Saccharomyces cerevisiae S288C: one gene and its partners. The protein of the gene in region 4 purifies or fractionates together with the protein of the main gene of each other region. This does not show direct contact. Each region holds a gene or a part of one and is shown on either strand. Other genes may lie near its edges.

Region 1 (5,237 bases), on a different chromosome or scaffold from region 4:
TCATACGTATGTCAGTCACTACACATATATATATATTAATGTTTAACTAATTTTTTTTTCTTATCTATCTGATATTTATTCTATAACTATATAAATTTGTCTCTTCACTTCTAAATACCTCTGTTAAAATAGACCTTTTCAATTGGCTTCCCATCCTTATCCTTCTTGCCATGTAGTTCAGGTTCTAGTTTATTTAAATGGATTGCTTGTCTTTGAGGGAAGATACCGAGTGCAAATGGCAAAGCTGAGAACATTGTGACTGAGATCAACCCCAAATTGGCCAAAGTTTGCACACCGAGAGACTTACCTTTGAGGACACCGCGTTGTAGTCTAACCAAAATCAAAGGTGGGATGACCATAGTTGGAGTGGCGTTAATCACTCTACTTAATGCAGTTTCACCAACTGCCATGAAGGCAGCCTTCTTGGACTTTCCGACTTCGTCACCGTTAGAGTCAAACACAGAAATACCCTTTCTAATTTCGTTGCCTCTCATTAGGAAGACGTTGACAATACCGGCACTGACCACGGCGGCAAATGGCACCAAACGGCCCAAGATCAACTTTGAATGTGGAGAAATGTTTTTCAACCTGGGAACTAGGTTATTTAGACCTAACGCAACACCACACGACGCAGTTACAGCGGCAGCGTAATTGGTGAGCAATTGGGACGTGGACATAGGATGAGATTTGTTTGCGTTAGCGGAATTAACGGCGACGTTTAGCGATTGATTTGCCCATTGCCAAAATACAGTCCCTGCCGTACCCAAACCAGGCGTCAGCATACCTACAGTAACGACTAGGTTTGATAGCACGTTGGAAGACATACGGAAGGGCAAAAGAACTGTCTTCCCTGTGTCCGGATGCACGGTGGAGTCCAGTTGTTTCTTGGCTCGCCAGAACTCCGGAGTAGTCTCTTTTAGTTCACCGTGACGATACGCACTGATGATTTCTCTAGCATGCGCCAGGTCCTTCTCAGTAGTTAACAACATAGTGGGGTCGGAAATCTCTGCGCAATGGCGGATTCTACCCCAATACGTGGATAAGTCATAGCGGGATTCGGGCAAATCGATGGGCCCTGGGACTGATGATGCCATATTTCTCTGCCTTGTTTATTTTTTTCTTTCGATGCTGTGTGGTTTTATTATTGCTAACTTGCAGTGGTCGACGCCTTTGAAAACTGTAAAGCTGATGCGAAGACCTAACAGTCTCTTATCCAATTACCTCAATCTGGTACGCTCCGGTACCGGACGCCAGTACGAAAGAAAAACTTTTCGTTCGTCTCGGGCACCATTGGTATAAAAAGCGCCGAGGCAGCGATCATTTTTCTAGTATTACTCTTCTTTCATTTTTTAGTTATCTTTGATTTTCGGTTCCGAAGAAGGCATGATACATATTAAACATGCCTTCTATTCACTGTGCCATCTTACATCCGTAGGTGATCAGAGGGGAAAAGAAGAGCTAGAGCAACTCCCACACTCATGAGCGTCCTCATACTGTTCTGGGCGCTTCTCACAGGTGCTTCTTTTAGTGTCTCCCATTGGCCCAGATCGGTAGCTGCGCGAGTGAGATATCTTTCATTCATTTATATTTATCTGTAGCAATAGCTTCCTTTACTATTTTATTCTTAGGGAGAACTTTAGCTTATTTCTTGCACAAGAGGGTTTGACAGTTTTCTGTTACCCGGCCAGTACTTCAAAAATTTTTCAAAAATTTTCTGAAGTGCTCATCTCATCGCAAACCGTAGGAGCAGTGAAAGGCATATGCTCATCTGTATAATTGCAAAAAGACATATTCTATGTTCGCAGAACCAATACGTTACCTAAAGTTTTAAAGACAATACCAAGGGAAACTGCACAAATTCAATATGACAGAAGATAAATCGCAGGTTAAAATCAGGTTTTTCACGCGTGAGAAAGATGAATTACTACATGTACAAGATACTCCAATGTACGCCCCCATCTCATTAAAGAGATATGGGTTGTCCGAAATTGTCAATCACTTGTTGGGCTCGGAAAAGCCTGTTCCTTTCGATTTCTTGATTGAAGGTGAATTGTTACGTACTTCATTGCACGACTATTTGACCAAGAAAGGTTTATCGAGCGAAGCCTCGCTGAATGTAGAATATACCAGGGCAATTCTTCCACCATCCTATTTGAATAGTTTCAGCAATGAGGACTGGGTTAGCTCATTGGATGTCGGCGACGGTTCCAAGCATATTATTAGTGGTTCTTACGATGGTATAGTTCGCACCTGGGATTTATCAGGTAATGTGCAAAAGCAGTACAGTGGTCATTCTGGCCCAATCCGTGCAGTAAAATACATTTCCAATACAAGGCTAGTTTCGGCTGGTAACGACCGTACTTTGAGATTATGGAAAACCAAAAACGATGATTTGAAATTAACTTCACAACAACAGGCACAGGAAGACGATGATGACGAAGTAAACATAGAGGACGGTAAGACACTGGCTATCTTGGAAGGTCATAAGGCACCAGTAGTCTCTATTGATGTTTCAGACAACTCAAGAATATTATCTGCATCATACGACAATTCTATTGGGTTCTGGTCTACTATTTATAAGGAAATGACAGTTGTTGATCCATTAGAAGATATAAACAATCCAAACAATAAAATATCCACTGCTGCTAGAAAAAGGAGAAAATTGACAATGAAAGATGGTACCATTAGAAGACGTGCCCCTCTGTCTCTGTTAGAATCCCATACAGCTCCTGTTGAGCAAGTGATCTTCGATTCTACAGATAATACCGTTGGTTATTCAGTATCACAAGATCATACCATCAAGACATGGGATTTGGTCACCGCGAGATGTATAGATACAAGAACAACATCGTACTCGTTGCTTTCCATTGCTCAATTGTCGACTTTGAACTTGTTAGCATGTGGGTCCAGCGCCAGACACATCACATTGCATGACCCACGTGTGGGAGCGTCTTCCAAAGTTACTCAGCAACAACTAATTGGTCATAAGAACTTCGTTTCCTCTCTGGACACTTGTCCCGAGAATGAGTATATATTATGCTCGGGTTCTCACGATGGTACCGTGAAGGTATGGGACGTCAGGTCTACTTCTCCGATGTACACCATAACAAGAGAAGACAAATCGGTCCAAAAGGGCGTCAATGACAAAGTTTTTGCTGTCAAATGGGCTGAAAAAGTGGGTATTATCAGCGCTGGTCAAGACAAAAAGATTCAAATAAATAAAGGAGACAACATTTTCAAAAACTGAGAAAAAACTGTTGTTGTTTTTATGTAGAATAATGTACTGATATACTTGAAATAAATTTGGTTTTGCCAACAGCTTTCGCAAATTTCTGTCACCTTCTTCTTTATGTAAAACGACATTACTTGCTAAAAAAAAAAATACTTCTATGATAATGTGTACTTGTATGAAACTTCTATAAATTTAAATTGGTGAATTTTATCCAGCTATCCCCCAATTTACTATTTGAATATATGCAATTGTGATCTGTCTTAAGACCTTTTCAAACCATTCTGGCGGAAGCATCGGTGGCCATTTCCGTATACGAATAACCGTCTTCATTATCCTTGATAGCTGAGTATAAACTATTGGAAATGGGTTCATTACGATTTTGCGCATGTTGCCCGTCCTCGCGATCAAACGAGGCAGGAACGGGCTGCGTATGGGTCCTGCGCAGAGATAGCCTTTCACCTGGTTTTTCTCTAGTCGAAGGGTCTGTTTCCATGGTCCTTAACGTGGTCATCCTTGTTAGATTCAATTCACCATCGACAGCATTTACGTCATCTATACCACCTTCGGTCTCAGCCTCCTTTTCCATGGCGGCATAACCAAATTGTGACTTGTGTCTTAATTTGCTCCCCCATTTTTCAAAAACCCATGGAATTGGAATCATCACAACGCAAACTAATGCAAATAAAGTGCTTGCCCATTTGATTTTCATCTTTGTGTACATTTGGATGGTAAACAATGGGAATACACTACTCATAACGTATCTTAATAGATTATTGGCAGCCAAACAGGATGCCACAGTTAATGGCGGATAGCATGTAGAGAAGTACATTAAAACGCTGAAAAAAATCAAAATTAAACCAAAACCAAATGGCACACCGGCAGCCACAGGAGCCATCCAGTGGACATCTGATCTAGCAGTCCAGGCTTGCCAAAACAGGCCGATAGGCAAAGCTACAGAACCAAATTTACAGGCAATTAAAAATTTTTCTGGAACAACGGGTAGCAATTCACCTGTTTCAGCGTCTCTTGCACCTCTGTAAGGGGTAGTCCTTTTAGAAGTTCTCTCTTTTTCGGTGAGTGGTTGAGTGCCAGCTGGTGGTTTAGGGAAGAGATATTTTCTGTCGATGTAAAGGTAAAAGAAAGCACCTATCCATAACCCGACACCAATACCAATAAATGGCAAGCCAGATATCCCCATAGACATGTGGTAAACACCACGATAAATGACAGCGTATGCTTCGAAAAATCCAAATAAAATGGCGAATATGAAAGCGACATAAACACTGAAAACAAATACAATAGGTTCAACGACAAGCATTTTTAAAGGCCTTAAGATTGTAATAGTGACAGTGGTTTTTAAAAATTCTTTCTGAGCTTCCCTGCTGAACTTCTTCAAGGCTATATTTCTCTTCTTGGCACGCTTTCTTAAAATAATACCTTTATGGGTCTCTGGCATGAGCGCAATAAATGGCAAGATTAGACCGCCCGCAATCAATTGGATCCATTCAGACCAACGCCAGCCTTTGGCTTCAGTAGCAAATCCTGCCATAATAGGAGATAAAACTGGCCCTAAGAATGGAGATAGAACAAAGTATGTCATTGCGACGGAGACCTGGTCCACGTCAAAGATATCCAGGATGGTACCTGATCCAACGGATAAGGCGGGGGATGCAAAGACACCTGATAAAAACCTTAGGGGTAGAATTATTCTCATGTGGCCATTGGATAACCCAACACCCATGGTGAAAAGCATTGACACAGGTAGGGAAAATAAATAGACAGGCTTACGACCAAACACTTCACTTAATGGAGCGCCGATGACAGTCGATAAACCCAGAAGATAGAAAGTTAAACCAGCAAGCGCCAAAGTCTGACTAACGTGATATCTTTCTACCAATTCTGGTACGGAAGAAACATATAGGGAACTACCCATTGTGACGACCAAACAAAGAAAAGCTGAAGTCATAGTAGTATACCATTTCTTCAAAGAGGACCAATTATGCGG
Region 2 (4,039 bases), on a different chromosome or scaffold from region 4:
GGAGCAGGGATGACTCTGTGACACCACATTAGATATCCACCACCACCTTTCATGGTCATCAGAGGGTGTAGCTTACCCCTTATACTTTGGTACGGCCTACATCTAGTTTCCAAAATTGATGGTGCTAAAAACCTGAGGTCTGAATATAAAGTATGAGCTAATTCCAACAAAGTTTCTTTGAATTGACCATAGCATACAATCGGCCTTGAACCATGGATTTTTTCGGCCAACTTTGGCACTAGTGTTGGTAAATGTAGTGTAGTAGCCATTACAAGACCGTCATATAGGAATTCTCCTGTTAGTTCTAAAATTTGCCATTGTGTATTGTACCATCTGAGTTTTCGGTAGTACGAGTTTTTCTTACCACCTTTTAATGCACGGGCTTCTTCTTTAGGTAATGGTGTAAATCTGCTCTGAATCTCTTGTAGTGTAGGCGGTTCAAAAAAATCTAATAGAGAAATGGTGTGTACATGCTCTTTAATAAATTTCTCAGAATAATTAGCAAACTTCAGCAAATCCAAGTTGGCATGTTCATTTTCGTGAATAACTATGACTTTGCCCTTGGATTTGCTTTCATTGTCACCGCCAAACATTCTTTCCAACAGAAAGTAAACCAATAACCCACCCGTTTCATCCATACAGAGATAGTTGCCTTCTGATTGGATGTTCGCAAGATTTAACAGCATCCCCATCGATTCCTGAGACATATCCAATACCCTTTGGATATCGCCTTTGTCGATTAAGAATTGTAAAAGGTTAGAGCTACTTAAATACTCAACGGTGAAGTACTTGGCGAATTTTTGTTTCTTCCTATTCACATATTTCTCTTGAGAATATACGGTCTTGTTGTGAAAACTTTTGTGAGATTTGATAATTTTGTCGATTATTTCTTTACTAGATAAAGATTCTTGTTTCATTTTTTCAATTTCTTCAACGGTTAACTCTTGGGCCTTGCTGCCCATGTTAACCAGATTCTGATTCGTAGCACTGCTGTCAATGCTAGACAATTCAAGAGACACAGATTTTTCCTTAATAGATAAAGGAGGCTCGCTTTGACCATCGTCTTTATCATTATTGACATCTTTGATCTCCTGCGATAATAGCCTTACTTTCCCGATGGGAATTTTGTTCTTTGGTTTCGAATCTCTATTTTCATCGGATGAAACCTCTTCGCCATCATAATATATCTCGAAAGTCAACCCGAAAGGATAACCAATTATGTCATTAACCTCGAAAGCACCGAATTTTCCTAATGATACAGAGGTGTTGGGCTTTAGTTCCACTATCTTGTAATTTTTTGATGGCAGCCGGACGATAACGTGCTGATTAAAATCTATGGTTGTCAAAGCATTCATTGTGCACTAAATTCAAAGTTTTTTTGTCCAATTCGTTTGCAACAATGTGAGTAGGATCCAACGTGCCAAAGAATTTAAAGTTGAATATTATTATTGTTATTATACACCTCATCGACTTTTTTTTTTTTTTTGATGAAATTTTTCAGATTTTACAAAACCGTTACCCAGTTTCACGTTTTCTGAAAAAAATTTTCATCTCATCGCAGAATAAGTTTAAGATGAGCTGAGCTGCAAATACAGTTGTCGCTAAGGTATATAGATTTGTAATTCTGGCGGAATTCCCCTTGTGTTGGCTAATATTAGAATTACATATACATATAATAGGAAATGGGTAGTAGACGTCATAAGAACAAGCAAGCCGCCCCACCAACCCTGGAGGAGTTTCAGGCAAGAAAGGAAAAGAAGGCTAATAGAAAGCTAGAAAAAGGAAAGAGACCTTCTACCACGCAAGGGGATGAAGTTTCTGATAGAAAGAAAAAGAAGTCGAAGCCATTCAAGAAATCTAGAAAAGAGGAGGAAGAAGTTGTTGAAGAGGATAAGGATTTGCCAGAAGTTGATCTTGAAGAATTATCAAAAGCCAGGAAATCTTTATTTGATGATGAAGAAGATGACGATGAAGCAGGATTGGTGGATGAAGAACTAAAAGATGAATTTGACTTGGAACAAGAATATGATTACGATGAAGATGAAGATAATGACGCCCACCCAATTTTTTCAGATGACGACGATGAGGCTGATCTTGAAGAACTAAATGCACAAAACATGGAAGCTCTTTCTAAGAAACTTGATGAAGAAGAAGCTGAAGAAGCTGAAGAAGCCGAAATGGAGTTAGTGGAAGCGGAGAACATGCAACCAAGAGCAGACATATTGCCCACTGAGGAGCAGGAAGAAATGATGGCACAAGAAACTCCTAATTTAACTTCCACAAGAACAAGAATGATTGAAATTGTAAAGGTTTTGGAAAATTTTAAGACTCTTGGTGCAGAAGGCAGATCGAGAGGAGAATACGTTGACAGACTTTTGAAAGATATTTGTGAGTACTTTGGTTATACACCATTTTTGGCGGAAAAGTTATTCAATCTATTCTCACCAGCAGAGGCGATGGAGTTTTTCGAAGCCAATGAAATTGCAAGACCAATAACCATCAGAACCAACACCTTGAAGACCAGAAGGAGAGACTTAGCTCAAACTCTTGTGAATAGAGGTGTTAATCTACAACCTATTGGTTCTTGGACTAAAGTTGGTCTTCAAATATTCGATTCCCAAGTCCCAATTGGTGCTACGCCAGAATATTTGGCAGGTCACTATATTTTACAAGCGGCATCATCTTTTCTACCAGTTATTGCTCTAGATCCTCATGAAAATGAGCGTATCTTGGATATGGCAGCTGCTCCAGGTGGTAAGACCACTTATATATCAGCTATGATGAAAAACACAGGTTGTGTTTTCGCTAACGACGCCAATAAATCTAGAACAAAATCTTTAATTGCTAATATCCACCGTCTAGGCTGTACCAACACTATTGTATGCAATTACGATGCCCGTGAGTTCCCTAAGGTAATTGGAGGTTTTGACAGAATTTTACTGGATGCCCCATGTTCCGGTACTGGTGTTATCGGTAAGGATCAATCTGTCAAGGTGTCTCGTACCGAGAAGGACTTCATTCAAATTCCACATCTACAAAAACAATTGCTTCTATCCGCCATTGATTCTGTTGATTGCAACTCGAAACATGGTGGTGTAATAGTATATTCGACATGTTCTGTTGCAGTGGAAGAGGACGAAGCTGTCATAGACTATGCATTGAGAAAAAGACCGAATGTCAAGTTAGTCGATACTGGTTTAGCGATCGGTAAAGAAGCGTTTACTAGTTACAGAGGCAAAAAGTTTCATCCTAGTGTGAAATTAGCGAGGAGGTACTATCCACATACGTACAACGTCGATGGGTTCTTTGTCGCTAAATTCCAAAAGATCGGTCCATCTTCGTTTGATGATAACCAAGCAAGTGCAAAAGAAAAGGAAACTGCTGCTAGAAAGGAAGCTTTGGAAGAAGGTATCATTCACTCTGACTTCGCAACCTTCGAGGACGAAGAAGACGATAAGTACATTGAAAAGTCTGTGAAAAACAATCTTTTGAAAAAGGGTGTCAATCCAAAAGCTAAAAGACCTTCTAACGAAAAATAAGTTCCCACAAACGTAGTGGCATCATGTTAGCATAGTTTTCTCTCTCTAATCTTTCTCTGTCTACATATATATATATATATATATATATCAATTTCAAATATGTCTCACTGTATATTAAATTCAAAATAGAAATAATAAAGCCGATTTGTAAACAGCACTAAGAAAAAAGGCGATGATATTACTTATTAATATTCGTTGCCAATATAGTATTACATATATCTCTATTTATTTCTCTTTTTTTGTTTTTAAGGCGTTTCAGTTTGCTGTCTCCTTAGTCTTCAAAATACTTCGTATTCCCTAACTTATGCTCTTTGATGTACTCTGGACCGTACTCTTCGTATTCTTTCTTACTGATAACTGTTTTCCTATACTGTTCTTCGTTTCGTGCTAGAGCTGCCATACCCTTCCAGGCATCCAATGAAGGATCTGAAGACATATTTACAGTGATATTGGTACCGGTAGGAAGGAATCCAGTGAATTCCTTCACAATACGTTCTTTC
Region 3 (6,665 bases), on a different chromosome or scaffold from region 4:
TCATCCTGCATGAAATTTTCTGCCATATTATGTACTATTGAATTGGAAATTAGGTTTGTCAGATGGAATACAGAAGGGATTAGAATTAATTTGTCAAATCCTGATAAACCATGGCAAAATACAATAGGATTTTTTGGGGGCTTGTACGAATCAGGAACTTTGACGGAGTCTATTATTATATCATTAGCTTTATTATCATTTTTCATTTTTTTTATGCTTTTCCTCCTTTAAAACAAGACGCTTTATTCTCTATATTCTTCCTTGTACATATTTTCAATAGCGGTTCATATTAGGCTCATTATGAGAAAAGGTTGGTGAGAAATTTAGCATATTTTAAACAATCATTTAGCTAGATGAATCAGAATGTTTTTCCGACAAATAGTAGCTCGCGTGGCGTAATGGCAACGCGTCTGACTTCTAATCAGAAGATTATGGGTTCGACCCCCATCGTGAGTGCTTTGTTTCTTCCGTGATAGTTTAATGGTCAGAATGGGCGCTTGTCGCGTGCCAGATCGGGGTTCAATTCCCCGTCGCGGAGAATTTTTTTTAATTGATAGTAGCAGGTACAGGAGAAAGAGTAAATAATAGAAAGCAAGGTACGTGATGGGAATTGATCAAACTAATATCGCTATACCTATAAGAATTTGCGTGTTTGTATACGTAAAGAATATATAATATATTGATGTGTGCGCTGAGGAAGGTAAGTCTACACAATTTATCCGTTAGCCCAAATTAATCAAACAGCATATTTTTTAGTCCACTCCTTAGCGGTGGCTTCATACTTAGCCTTATCTGTCTTGTAGATTTGAGCAATTTCAGGGACCAAAGGATCGTCGGGATTAGCATCTGTTAAAAGAGAGCAAATAGACAACAAAACTTTTGAAAGGGTTAGCGCCGGTGACCACTGGTCCTTTAAAATATCAAGGCAGATATTACCACTCGAATTAATATTCGGATGATAAATTTTGGTCGTAAAGTTTACCTTCGGTGGCTTGAATGGATAATCAGTTGGAAAGTGAATAGACAAAAAGAAAACGCCACCAGCGTAGGGTGAGTCTGAAGGACCCATAATAGAGGCTTGCCAATGATACAGGTCATCCCCTACAGGTCCTGCTGAACATGAAGCAGGAGGATCTCTTCGGAAAAAAGTTCAAAAAAGAAACTCATGTTAGTAATCCTTTTTCTTTACAGATCAAGAAAAATCATTCATTTTATTTTTAACATACCTCCCTAAATCACTTAATTCCTTGGCAATACGCTTGGAGGAAGACATTTTTAGTTTAGTTGAGGGTGGTGAGCAGAAAATGACTTTTCAAGATGGTAGTCAATAAGCAGTCCTGACCTTGGAAAATAAAACTCCAACCATCTATTAAAATCCGGGATACAATTATTTTTTATAATTTTGGGTCGGCTATCTTTGGTACAAATGAGTAAGGCGGCAGCCGCTTTATTACCCGCTCGCAGTGGCAACTACCTCCACCACAGCCATGCTTCAAAAGCGCTTGCTACGAGAGTTTACACCGTACTAGCACTAGCAATACATCTAGATATCTAATTGAATTACGCACAATATAAGAAAAATCGGTTTATGAGCCTAATGAATGAGTACCAAAATAAGTAGGCAAAAAGTACAGCCTCTCATGGAACAATGAACACAACCCTAGTATAATTCATCTGTACTTTGGGACTTTCTGTGTAAGTAAACCAAGACATAATTTAATATATTTGAGAAATCTATCCTTATCCAATTGGTTGTTGCAGATGATTTCATATAAGCAAAAATGTTGGTATAACTTTCACCACATGCAATAGCAGATCTTTTGTATAACGCGTATTGCCCAACATAATCTAAGATCAGATCATTAATAAGAAAATCTCATTTCCAAAACCGATTGGACATATACTGTTTAGTAATAACCGCCGATATGATGTTCTTCCGTTCTCTTGCCTCTGTATTCCGTTACCCGTTGCAGAATGAAAAATTTTTTCTTTTGGCGATGAGGTAAAAAATTATCAGAGATGCCAAAGTAATGGAGTTGCGAATAAGAAAGCATTATGTCGTACACATCGGAAGCGAAATTCTATAGTTTGATAAATTTCTATAGATATTAAACCTCTCCAGTGTCTTTGTTGGTACAGTAATCAAAAATAATGAGTGAGAACAACGGCAATCCGCTGGATTTGTCTTCACTAAGAAATAAGATTTCGTCAAAATTGCGAGACAATAACAGCAAAAAGGCGAAGAAAACCCACAAAGGCAAGGACGTGAAGGCCAGTAGTAATTCAAAGAAGGTAAATGAGGACATACGTCGTGAAGCACTAGCATTGGGTGCCAGCGAAGAAGATCTAAAATTGATTCAAGGATTAAGCGATGATGATGACGCTAAGAGCGAACAGGAATTTGATGCCGTCGCTGACGAGGATGCTGACGACAAGGGATTCAAGAACGATCTTCAAAATTTCATGAAGAATGTAGGATTTGACCAACACAAACTCGAAGATGTAGACGATGACGATATAGAAGAAGAATCCACTAGCTCCAAAGAATCTAAAATACCCGCTCAAGAGAAGGAACATGCACAATCAAACATTGCATCATCGACAATAGAGAAAACCTCCCAAGAGTCAATCGATAATGGCAGTGAACAAGAAGAAAACACAGTAGAAGAGGCTAATCTTAGTTCAGACCAAGAGCCAGAATCAGAATCTGCAGAGAAAGAAAAGAAAGAGGAGAAAGATGGAGGTTTAATTACTCAAACTACTATTATCTCATCTGACAAACTTATTATTCCTTACGATAAACCATGGTATGAAATTCCATTGGATCCTCAAGTTGGACAAAATGATGATGTTGAAGAATTATCCAAGGAACAGATTGAGAAACTTTTTGAAAGAGGTAAGCAAACGCTAGAAGCTGACAACCAAACTTACTATGAGGAGTTTACAAAGGACTCATCGCAGGCCAAGTTCATGTCCCAAATCCTATCGGACGGTACCCTCAACGATAAAATATCTGCCGTAACTTTACTCATTCAAGATTCGCCATTGCATAACACTAAGTCTTTAGAAACTCTGGTTTCATATTGTGGCAAAAAATCGAGAAACTCTGCTTTACAGAGTTTAAACGCTTTGAAGGATTTATTCTTAAATGGTCTTTTGCCCAACAGAAAGCTGAGGTATTTCAAAAATCAACCTGGCTTATCTATGATGCTAAACAAGAAAACTCTTGCAATTTTCTATTTCGAAGATTATTTAAAGAAACTGTTCTTTCGTGTTTTAGAAGTCTTGGAAGTGCTTTCCCACGATCCAATTATTCACGTTAGATTACAAATATTAAATCATGTATTTGATTTATTGACCAACCAACCAGAGCAGGAATTTAATTTATTGAGATTAGGTGTAAATAAAATTGGTGATATTGATTCCAAAGTTTCTTCGAAGGCGTCATATTTACTACTGAAGTTGGAACAAGCTCATCCGAATATGAAATCTATTGTCATTGATGCTATCGTTGATATCGCATTGAGACCGAATGCGGATTATCATACCACTTACTATTCTGTTATTACTTTAAACCAAACCATCTTAAAAAGATCAGAAGACTCTGTTGCTAATAAATTAGTAAAAACATACTTCACTTTGTTTGAAAAATTCTTGATTAATACTGATAAAGACAATACCAATGGCGTTGTTAAGAGTAACTCAAAGTCGTATGAGGAGAAAAGAAAGAAGAACTTTAAAAAGGGTAAACACGGTGGTAAATCTGTAAAAATCGAAAAAACGGAAAATGAAGTTTTAGATGAAAAGAACTCAAAATTATTCAGTGCTTTGTTAACAGGTATCAATCGTGCATTCCCATTCGCTCAGATTCCAGCGTCTGTCTATGAAGTACATATGGAAACTCTTTTCAAAATCACACACTCCTCTAACTTTAACACCTCAATCCAAGCATTAGTTTTGATTAATCAAGTCACCGTCAAAGCAAAGTTGAACAGTGATCGATATTATAGAACATTATACGAAAGTTTATTTGACCCCAGACTGGTGAACTCTTCTAAGCAGGGTATTTACTTGAATTTACTATACAAATCATTAAAACAAGATGCACTCAACGTTGAACGAGTAGAAGCCTTTGTCAAGAGAATTCTTCAAGTTTGTTCTCATTGGTTGAACGTCGGCACCATTACTGGTTTTTTCTTCTTATTAATCCAGTTGGCTAAAACAGTTCCACAAATAAAAAATCTTCTAACCAACACGCCAGTTGATTACGAGTATGAATCTGATGCAGAAGAGGAGCAAGGGGACAAGGACATAAAAAGGAAGGAATACGACGGCCGCAAGCGTGATCCAAAGTTCGCCAATGCTGAAAAATCTTCTTTATGGGAAATCAACAACTTCATCAATCATTTTCATCCTACTGTGAAAACATATGCAAACGCCTATGTGACAGGAGAAACAGAGCAAATAGCTAAACCAGACCTGGGTCTATTTACTCTATCACACTTCCTTGACAGATTTGTCTACAGAAGTGCCAAGCAGACCAATACAGCAAGAGGTACATCTATTATGCAACCTCTGTTTAGTGGCTCACGAGTTAATGACTCTGTCTTAGTTAAGGCATCTGATATTATGCATGACCAGGGTCCCGTGAACACTGAAGACTGGCTAACTAAAAAAGTTGAAGATATCAAACCTGAAGATAAATTCTTTTATCAATATTTCACTACCAAGAAAACCGCTGATGGAAAAGGAAAGAAATCTAACAAAGCATCTAATTTCGATAGTGATGACGAAATGGATGAAAATGAAATTTGGAGTGCTTTGGTTAAATCGAGACCAGATGTTGAAGATGATAGCGACGACAGTGAACTTGACTTCGCTGAAGATGATTTCAGCGATTCAACTAGTGACGATGAACCTAAGCTGGACGCAATTGATGATGAAGATGCTAAAAGTGAAGGCAGCCAAGAAAGCGATCAAGAAGAAGGCCTCGATGAGGATATTTTTTACAGTTTCGATGGAGAACAAGACAATAGTGATAAAAAACGTTCCTTCGCTGAAAGTAGTGAAGAGGACGAGAGCAGCGAAGAAGAAAAAGAAGAAGAAGAAAATAAAGAGGTATCCGCAAAAAGAGCAAAGAAGAAGCAGAGAAAGAATATGCTCAAAAGTCTACCGGTATTTGCATCTGCCGACGATTATGCTCAATATTTAGATCAAGATTCAGACTAGAAAATAATAATACATTAACTAAACACTTCGGTGTTGTAAATTAAATAAGGAAAACAGAATTTTGTACAATAAAAAACGGTCCAATACGAAACCTTGAAGCGAAAGACGCATATCAGAGTTTTGCTGATAACTCTACTTATGTCCGCTTTTCAACATTATTAGAGCGGGAGTAAACGGAAAAAGAGTAATGCGGAAATAGAAACGGATTTTAGCTACAACTATGTCAGTTGAAATCGCCGAGATTGCTGACATCGTGAGACGAAACTAAAAACGATGGAACCACGTGACTCCTATTAGAAATAAATAATCCAGAACTCATTTTTAACCATTTTGTTTATATAGGCACATTTGTAGCGACAATTTTCTGTTAGCTAATTGCAGTAAGCAAAACAAATTTGTGAATACTTGATTAATATTCTGTGAAAGATTTTTTAATTATGAGTACCAATAAGTTCGTTGTACGAATAACGAATGCGCTCTTCAAGTCATCACTGGCTAGCAACAGTCCACCTGTTTACCCTAAGAGGATTAGGCATTTCGAGATTTTACCCAACGAAAAATGGGTTATATGGGGACCTGGAAAGGGCAAGTTCTTGGATGTACTGAATAACAAGTATATTTGTGAGCCCCCATTATCTTTGAGGTTTGGATTTTTGAAGGAAAGTTCGAACATCCTGCCGAGGATAGAGCAAGTGGCCTTCAAAGGGGTTATGCCAACGGCTCATTTAAGTGCTAGATATGAATACTTCAAAGATGACTACGATCAAACCTGCAAACAGTTTATATTTGATAAGGCAAGCGGATCAAATGCTGTTTCATATAAAGTTGAGACGAACAATCGGCAAATAAACATGGAGCTGTACAATGCATTAGTTGAAAATTTAAACCTCTCCAGTTTACAGGATAGGTGGGTAATGGGATTGAGTAATGGACAAATGAGGAGAGCAAGGTTAGCTCGTAGTATACTCAAGGAACCGGATCTACTACTTATTGACGACCCATTTTTAGGGTTGGATCCAGCCGCAATAGCAACCATTTCACAATTTTTAGCCAAATATGATAGTATAGAAGTCAGTGGCGGATGTCCAATCGTCATTGGTTTGAGGTATCAAGATACCATTCCAGCATGGTGTACTCATATATGTTGCGTTGATGAGAAAAACGGTATATTGTTTGAAGGCCCAATCGAAAAACTTCAAAGTAAAATGGATGAAACCAGATCAAGGGCACTAAAAGAACTAGAGCAGCTCAAAAAAGCGTCTAATTCCAAAGAGGACATTTCCATTAACGATTTGATTTGTATACATCCTATGTATGGCAAGAAAGAGCACGAAATTATCAAAATGCCTCATCTTATAGAATTAGACGGGTTGAGCGTTTCATACAAAGGCGAAGCTGTTTTGGAAAATCTGCACTGGAAAGTTCAGCCGGGTTCG
Region 4 (6,106 bases):
TGAAGCTATATAATACTTTGCCCAAGAACGGTTTAGTTTTATATTGTGGTGATATCATCACTGAAGATGGTAAAGAAAAAAAGGTCACTTTTGACATCGAACCTTACAAACCTATCAACACATCCTTATATTTGTGTGATAACAAATTTCATACAGAAGTTCTTTCGGAATTGCTTCAAGCTGACGACAAGTTCGGTTTTATAGTCATGGACGGTCAAGGTACTTTGTTTGGTTCTGTGTCCGGTAATACGAGAACTGTTTTACATAAATTTACTGTCGATCTGCCAAAAAAGCATGGTAGAGGTGGTCAATCTGCGCTTCGTTTTGCTCGTTTAAGAGAAGAAAAAAGACATAATTATGTGAGAAAGGTCGCCGAAGTTGCTGTTCAAAATTTTATTACTAATGACAAAGTCAATGTTAAGGGTTTAATTTTAGCTGGTTCTGCTGACTTTAAGACCGATTTGGCTAAATCTGAATTATTCGATCCAAGACTAGCATGTAAGGTTATTTCCATCGTGGATGTTTCTTATGGTGGTGAAAACGGTTTCAACCAGGCTATCGAACTTTCTGCCGAAGCGTTGGCCAATGTCAAGTATGTTCAAGAAAAGAAATTATTGGAGGCATATTTTGACGAAATTTCCCAGGACACTGGTAAATTCTGTTATGGTATAGATGATACTTTAAAGGCATTGGATTTAGGTGCAGTCGAAAAATTAATTGTTTTCGAAAATTTGGAAACTATCAGATATACATTTAAAGATGCCGAGGATAATGAGGTTATAAAATTCGCTGAACCAGAAGCCAAGGACAAGTCGTTTGCTATTGACAAAGCTACCGGCCAAGAAATGGACGTTGTCTCCGAAGAACCTTTAATTGAATGGCTAGCAGCTAACTACAAAAACTTCGGTGCTACCTTGGAATTCATCACAGACAAATCTTCAGAAGGTGCCCAATTTGTCACAGGTTTTGGTGGTATTGGTGCCATGCTGCGTTACAAAGTTAATTTTGAACAACTAGTTGATGAATCTGAGGATGAATATTATGACGAAGATGAAGGATCCGACTATGATTTCATTTAAATAAATAAAAGGGGGAGAAAAAAATCGAATCAAAAAGAATTTAATCACTAGATGCCAGATTTAAATTAAATTCGCTTTTAATTTTTTGTACAATATAATATATACTTGGTAAACCTTTTGCTCTATATTGAGCTAATTCCTTTGTTGAAAGTACATAGTGGGTTTAGAGGACCGTGTATATTACGTAGAAAATACAGTGAAAGGAGAGTTTCTCTTCAAAAGCCTCGAGATTAATTATTTCTCTTTTTCTTTTTCTTCAAAGTTTCTAAGGCGTTTGTCTTTTCATGACCAATGATAGAATTATGACCTCTTTTTTTGACCAAGTTATCAGCTAAATTCACTAGCCCACCTGTCAAATATTTCTGTCTTCTATCTTTACGTATAGGCACTGATAACAATTCGTTCAACGTAGCTCTCATGGCTTTTACCTTGTCCTTATTTATAGTCTTCTGCATTTTTTTATTTTTATTTTTTAGTAAGAAAGTGTCCGAATTACTCTTTGATATATCGTCTTCGTCGGAATCAACGTCAATACCTAATTCATCAGCAGCCTTTTTTAACCAATTGTCATCTTTTCTTAGGGAATTAGAAGCAATTTCATGATCAGCCAGTTCGCCTGCTAATCTACTTCTTTCTCTGAGTTGTGAAAGTATATCGGTTTCAATTGGTAACAAAGGCACAGTGTTTTGCCACTTGATGGGTTTTCTGTTAGTTGATCTAGAGTTCAAATCCGTCGAAACACTATTTTTTGTAGCGAGAGTTTTTCTTAACTTTCTTAATGGGCCCATAGATTCTTGAGGTGAGCATATCATGGCAGAGACACCTTCAGAACCTGCTCTTGCAGTTCTGCCTGATCTATGAATATAAATATCAGTAGATCTTGGTAAGTGGTAATGAATAACGTGTTGAACACCCGGAATATCTAAACCTCTAGCAGCAACATCACTTGCAATCAATACTGTTGAGAGTTGAACGGAATCCGGATTCGAATGATTTATTGTTTTCTGTTTAGCGCTTTGTTGCTTGAACCTTTCTAAGCTTTTCAAACGGTTCTTTTGTGTCATGGAAGAATGAATTTGAAAAGCTGGGATGCCTAGGTTATTTAAGTATACGGTCAATTTCTTCACGGAGTCAATGGCATTACAAAAGATCAAAGTTGTACCTGGGAACATGGTTAAAAAGTAATAGCAGTATAGGTCACGTTCTAATGGAGGACATTCAATTAAGGATTCTTTGATTTGAGAGCTCACTTTTGACTCAGGATTTGTATCTATTATAACCGGCTTTGAGTTGAAGTGAATTTTGCTCATTAAGTGTTGTATTACGGCATTTAGCTCATCTTCGTTGTTTTTAAACCTTCTATCCTTAACTTGACGGGAAGAAGATAGCTTATCAAACAAGTCGATGGAGAATGTTGCAGAAAAGATCAAAGTTTGCCAAATTTTGCTACTGCCCTCGGAGTTTTCTCTGTTTTTCCTTCTTTCTACTAATAAATGTTTAATGATTTTTTCGAACTCGTCGAAATGACCGTCTTGTAACAGCCTATCAGCCTCATCAAGGATTAGCGTATTTACTTTCGAGAATCTTTTGATTAAAGTGTTGTCTTTTTCCAACAGTTCCAAAAATCTACCTGGTGTTGCGATGACAATTTGGCCACTATTATCGTACTTTAATAGACGTTGTTGTTTTTGGATAGAGAGTCCACCTGTCAAAGATAATATCGAGTACTGAGATTTCGCTAGAACAGGCTCACAGATCTTTTTTAAGTGGTCTGTGACTTGATGCGCCAGTTCTCTTGTAGGAGTAAAGATTAACGATATTGGTTTCTTGTTTTTCTGAGAGAAGTTACTGATCAGTTTCTCTACAATTGGAATACCATAGGCTAAAGTTTTACCTGAACCTGTAGAGGCTTTCCCCATGACGTCTACGCCTTGCATAATAACTGGAATAGACTTTTTTTGAATTTCTGTAGGTCTGAGAAAATTTAAATTCTGCAAGCTCTGCAAAATAGTCATTGAGAGAGGTGCAAGATTCGTCCATTCAGGTAAATTTACAGGAGAAATATCATCGATATTAATGTCTTTGTTAAAGACGTTTTCTTTCAAAACATCCTCATCCACATCCTCATCCACATCCTCACTGGGATCGGTTAACTTTGAACTCTCAATATTACCTTGCTCATCCTCGTCGGATGATGAATAAGATGCTGCACTCAACTCTCCTTCTTTAATATCGTCCAAGTTCTTGAATTCAAGGAGCTCGGACTCCGAATCTGACCCTGATTCATTTTCCACAGATTCCTGATCATCTCCGACTTTTTCCTTATTGCTATCTTTTAACACTTTTGAATCTTTTTTGGTGACGAAAGTTACTTTACCATCCACGACTTTAACGTCCACTCCGTCAATTTCTTCCAAGCCATAAAATCCACCAAAGTCATCTAAAGTGTCCGGAATATCTACTGGTTTCCAGTTCAATTTGGATTCATCTACAATTATCTCCTGTGGCTTTGTGACCGTTTTTCCTTTTTGAGGAGCCCTTTTCTTACCCATGATGGAAAAACTGATTATGCCGGTATTTGACTAAAGAATTTCTACCTGAGGTTATGATGATAATGATGGGCAGGTTGGCGAATATAACTTTTTTAGATGGAAATTCTTATAAGCTCATCGCTGGAAAAGTTTTTCAGAGAAAAAGAAAAGTACGGACTAACTAACCTTGAGGCGGGTTTGTGAGGTGAAAAAAAATATAACAATTATAATATCGATGAGCTAGCCATGACCTTGATGGCAATCTTGTATCAGCTTAGCGATACCACTAATACAGCGGAATGCATTCAAGAAAGTCGAAGAGTATTACGGGCAAGAGGAAGCAAGTAGGAAGTAACGTGACGAGAGTAATCAAGCCACAGAAGACAAGAAGGATAATAAGAAGATTCCACCATTTAATTAATAAGCGTCAATCGATATGCAAGTTTTTATGCCTTAAGGAAAACCTAGATGATTCCAACGAGGAGAAGAATGACAAAATTATCAGGTTAAGTATTAAAGGTAATGTAAGACTGGGCAAGTACTATGAAGACGGCAAATCGCAGTCCTTCAATGATGCTATGGAATCACAACTACTGAGGCTGCACTCATTAATTAAAAATGAATCCAAATCAAAGGATACTTCTGACTTGGCTGTGATGTACACATTACTTGGTTACATAATGAATCAGATTAATAAATTGGGAGGACTAGAAACTTACCAAATTGCCAGTCAAAACGGGCAATTGAAGGAACGAGGAGGAGACACGTCCAAGTTGCTCGAGAAATGGATCAGGTCCTCATTTGAAAATTGTCCTGGAGCAGTGGCATTAGAAATTGGTTCATTGAGCTCCGGAAATCGCATATCCCGTTGTGCACTTTTTAGAAATGTGGTTCGTATAGATTTAGAGGAACATGAAGGCGTTATTAAGCAGGATTTTATGGAAAGACCGCTACCGAGAAATGAAAACGACAAATTCGACCTGATATCATGCTCTCTAGTGCTAAATTTTGTCAAAAATCACAGGGATCGCGGTGCAATGTGCCATCGCATGGTCAAATTTCTCAAGCCGCAAGGCTACATCTTTATTGTTCTGCCACAAGCCTGTGTGACGCACTCAAGATACTGCGACAAAACACTGTTACAAAACCTCCTCGGCTCTATCGGGCTCATAATGCTTAATAGCCATCAAAGTAATAAGTTGTACTATTGTTTGTATCAATTGCAGGTAGTTCCACCGCAGCCGAGTAGCTTTTCCAAAAGAATCAAGGTTAACGACGGCCCTGGGTTGAACAATTTTGGTATTACCCTCTAAGCGAGCCGACACCGCCTGGAAGTTTTTCATAAAGGGATACAATATAGAAAGATGTGTAAAAACGTTAAGTAAAAGATGAGCAAATGAACAGTGTTCGAAGGAGAATAACAAGAGTTACTGCTCATATAAAACTAATATACTAAAGGTTTTCGCTTTGTATTACGATTGAAACAATTAACTGTTTTTTTTTTTTCCGCTTATTACACAGTACCGGTTTCATTTACGCCTTTGATCATTTTATTGGCATTGGGCTCATAGTAGTTTTCAGCGCGTGGTTAAGCTATTTAACGAAAGCGTATAAAGTCAAGTGATCATCTTTTGCCCTGCAAATAGAGCTTCAAACTTAACATTCTTCTTCAGCATATAACATACAACAAGATTAAGGCTCTTTCTAAAATGAATCAAAGCGATCCGCAAGACAAAAAAAATTTCCCAATGGAATACTCTTTGACCAAGCATCTTTTTTTTGATAGGCTTCTACTTGTTCTTCCCATAGAATCTAATTTGAAAACATATGCTGATGTGGAGGCAGATTCAGTTTTCAATTCGTGTCGGTCCATCATTTTGAATATAGCCATCACTAAGGACTTGAACCCGATTATCGAAAACACATTAGGTTTAATTGACTTGATTGTGCAAGATGAAGAAATTACGTCTGACAATATTACAGATGATATTGCCCATTCTATATTGGTTCTTTTGAGATTACTGAGTGATGTTTTTGAGTATTACTGGGATCAAAACAATGACTTCAAGAAAATTAGAAACGATAATTACAAACCGGGATTTTCAAGTCACAGGCCAAACTTCCATACATCTAGGCCAAAGCACACGAGAATCAATCCAGCTTTGGCGACGATGTTACTATGTAAAATTTCTAAGCTGAAGTTCAATACAAGAACTTTAAAGGTTTTACAGAACATGTCTCACCATCTTTCTGGCAGCGCTACTATCTCAAAATCGAGTATTTTACCCGATTCACAGGAATTTTTACAAAAGAGAAACTATCCAGCATATACCGAGAAAATAGATTTAACAATAGATTATATCCAGAGATTCATATCTGCTTCCAATCATGTTGAATTCACAAAGTGTGTCAAAACAAAAGTTGTTGCACCTTTATTGATATCACACACCTCAACCGAATTGGGCGTAGTAAACCACTTGGATTTATTTGGTTGTG

What was found.
Region 1: the proteins of MAK5 (region 4) and YTM1 purify together in Saccharomyces cerevisiae (affinity purification with mass spectrometry; 5 studies listed by BioGRID). This does not show direct contact.
Region 2: the proteins of MAK5 (region 4) and NOP2 purify together in Saccharomyces cerevisiae (affinity purification with mass spectrometry; 4 studies listed by BioGRID, with this or other methods). This does not show direct contact.
Region 3: the proteins of MAK5 (region 4) and MAK21 purify together in Saccharomyces cerevisiae (affinity purification with mass spectrometry; 5 studies listed by BioGRID). This does not show direct contact.

What each region holds. Positions count from the first base shown.
Region 1 is NC_001147.6:830,949-836,185, forward strand, and holds YTM1 (Ytm1p), read left to right. Parts: upstream 1-1,864; coding exon 1,865-3,247; downstream 3,248-5,237. Other genes in the region: FSF1 (Fsf1p), read right to left, coding at 111-1,094; TPO4 (Tpo4p), read right to left, coding at 3,504-5,237. UniProt on the Saccharomyces cerevisiae protein: Component of the NOP7 complex, which is required for maturation of the 25S and 5.8S ribosomal RNAs and formation of the 60S ribosome.
Region 2 is NC_001146.8:508,858-512,896, forward strand, and holds NOP2 (rRNA (cytosine-C5-)-methyltransferase NOP2), read left to right. Parts: upstream 1-1,682; coding exon 1,683-3,539; downstream 3,540-4,039. Other genes in the region: tRNA 1-methyladenosine methyltransferase subunit GCD10, read right to left, coding at 1-1,355; actin-related protein ARP5, read right to left, coding at 3,811-4,039. UniProt on the Saccharomyces cerevisiae protein: S-adenosyl-L-methionine-dependent methyltransferase that specifically methylates the C(5) position of cytosine 2870 (m5C2870) in 25S rRNA. Required for 60S ribosomal subunit synthesis and processing.
Region 3 is NC_001136.10:568,498-575,162, forward strand, and holds MAK21 (RNA-binding ribosome biosynthesis protein MAK21), read left to right. Parts: upstream 1-2,151; coding exon 2,152-5,229; downstream 5,230-6,665. Other genes in the region: TGL2 (triglyceride lipase), read right to left, coding at 1-206; E2 ubiquitin-conjugating protein UBC5, read right to left, coding at 737-1,136, 1,227-1,273; YDR061W (uncharacterized protein), read left to right, coding at 5,667-6,665.
Region 4 is NC_001134.8:525,842-531,947, reverse strand, and holds MAK5 (ATP-dependent RNA helicase), read right to left. Parts: upstream 3,632-6,106; coding exon 1,310-3,631; downstream 1-1,309. Other genes in the region: SUP45 (translation termination factor eRF1), read left to right, coding at 1-1,079; BMT2 (25S rRNA (adenine2142-N1)-methyltransferase), read left to right, coding at 3,910-4,923; GTPase-activating protein IRA1, read left to right, coding at 5,320-6,106. UniProt on the Saccharomyces cerevisiae protein: ATP-binding RNA helicase involved in the biogenesis of 60S ribosomal subunits and is required for the normal formation of 25S and 5.8S rRNAs. Required for the maintenance of dsRNA killer plasmid.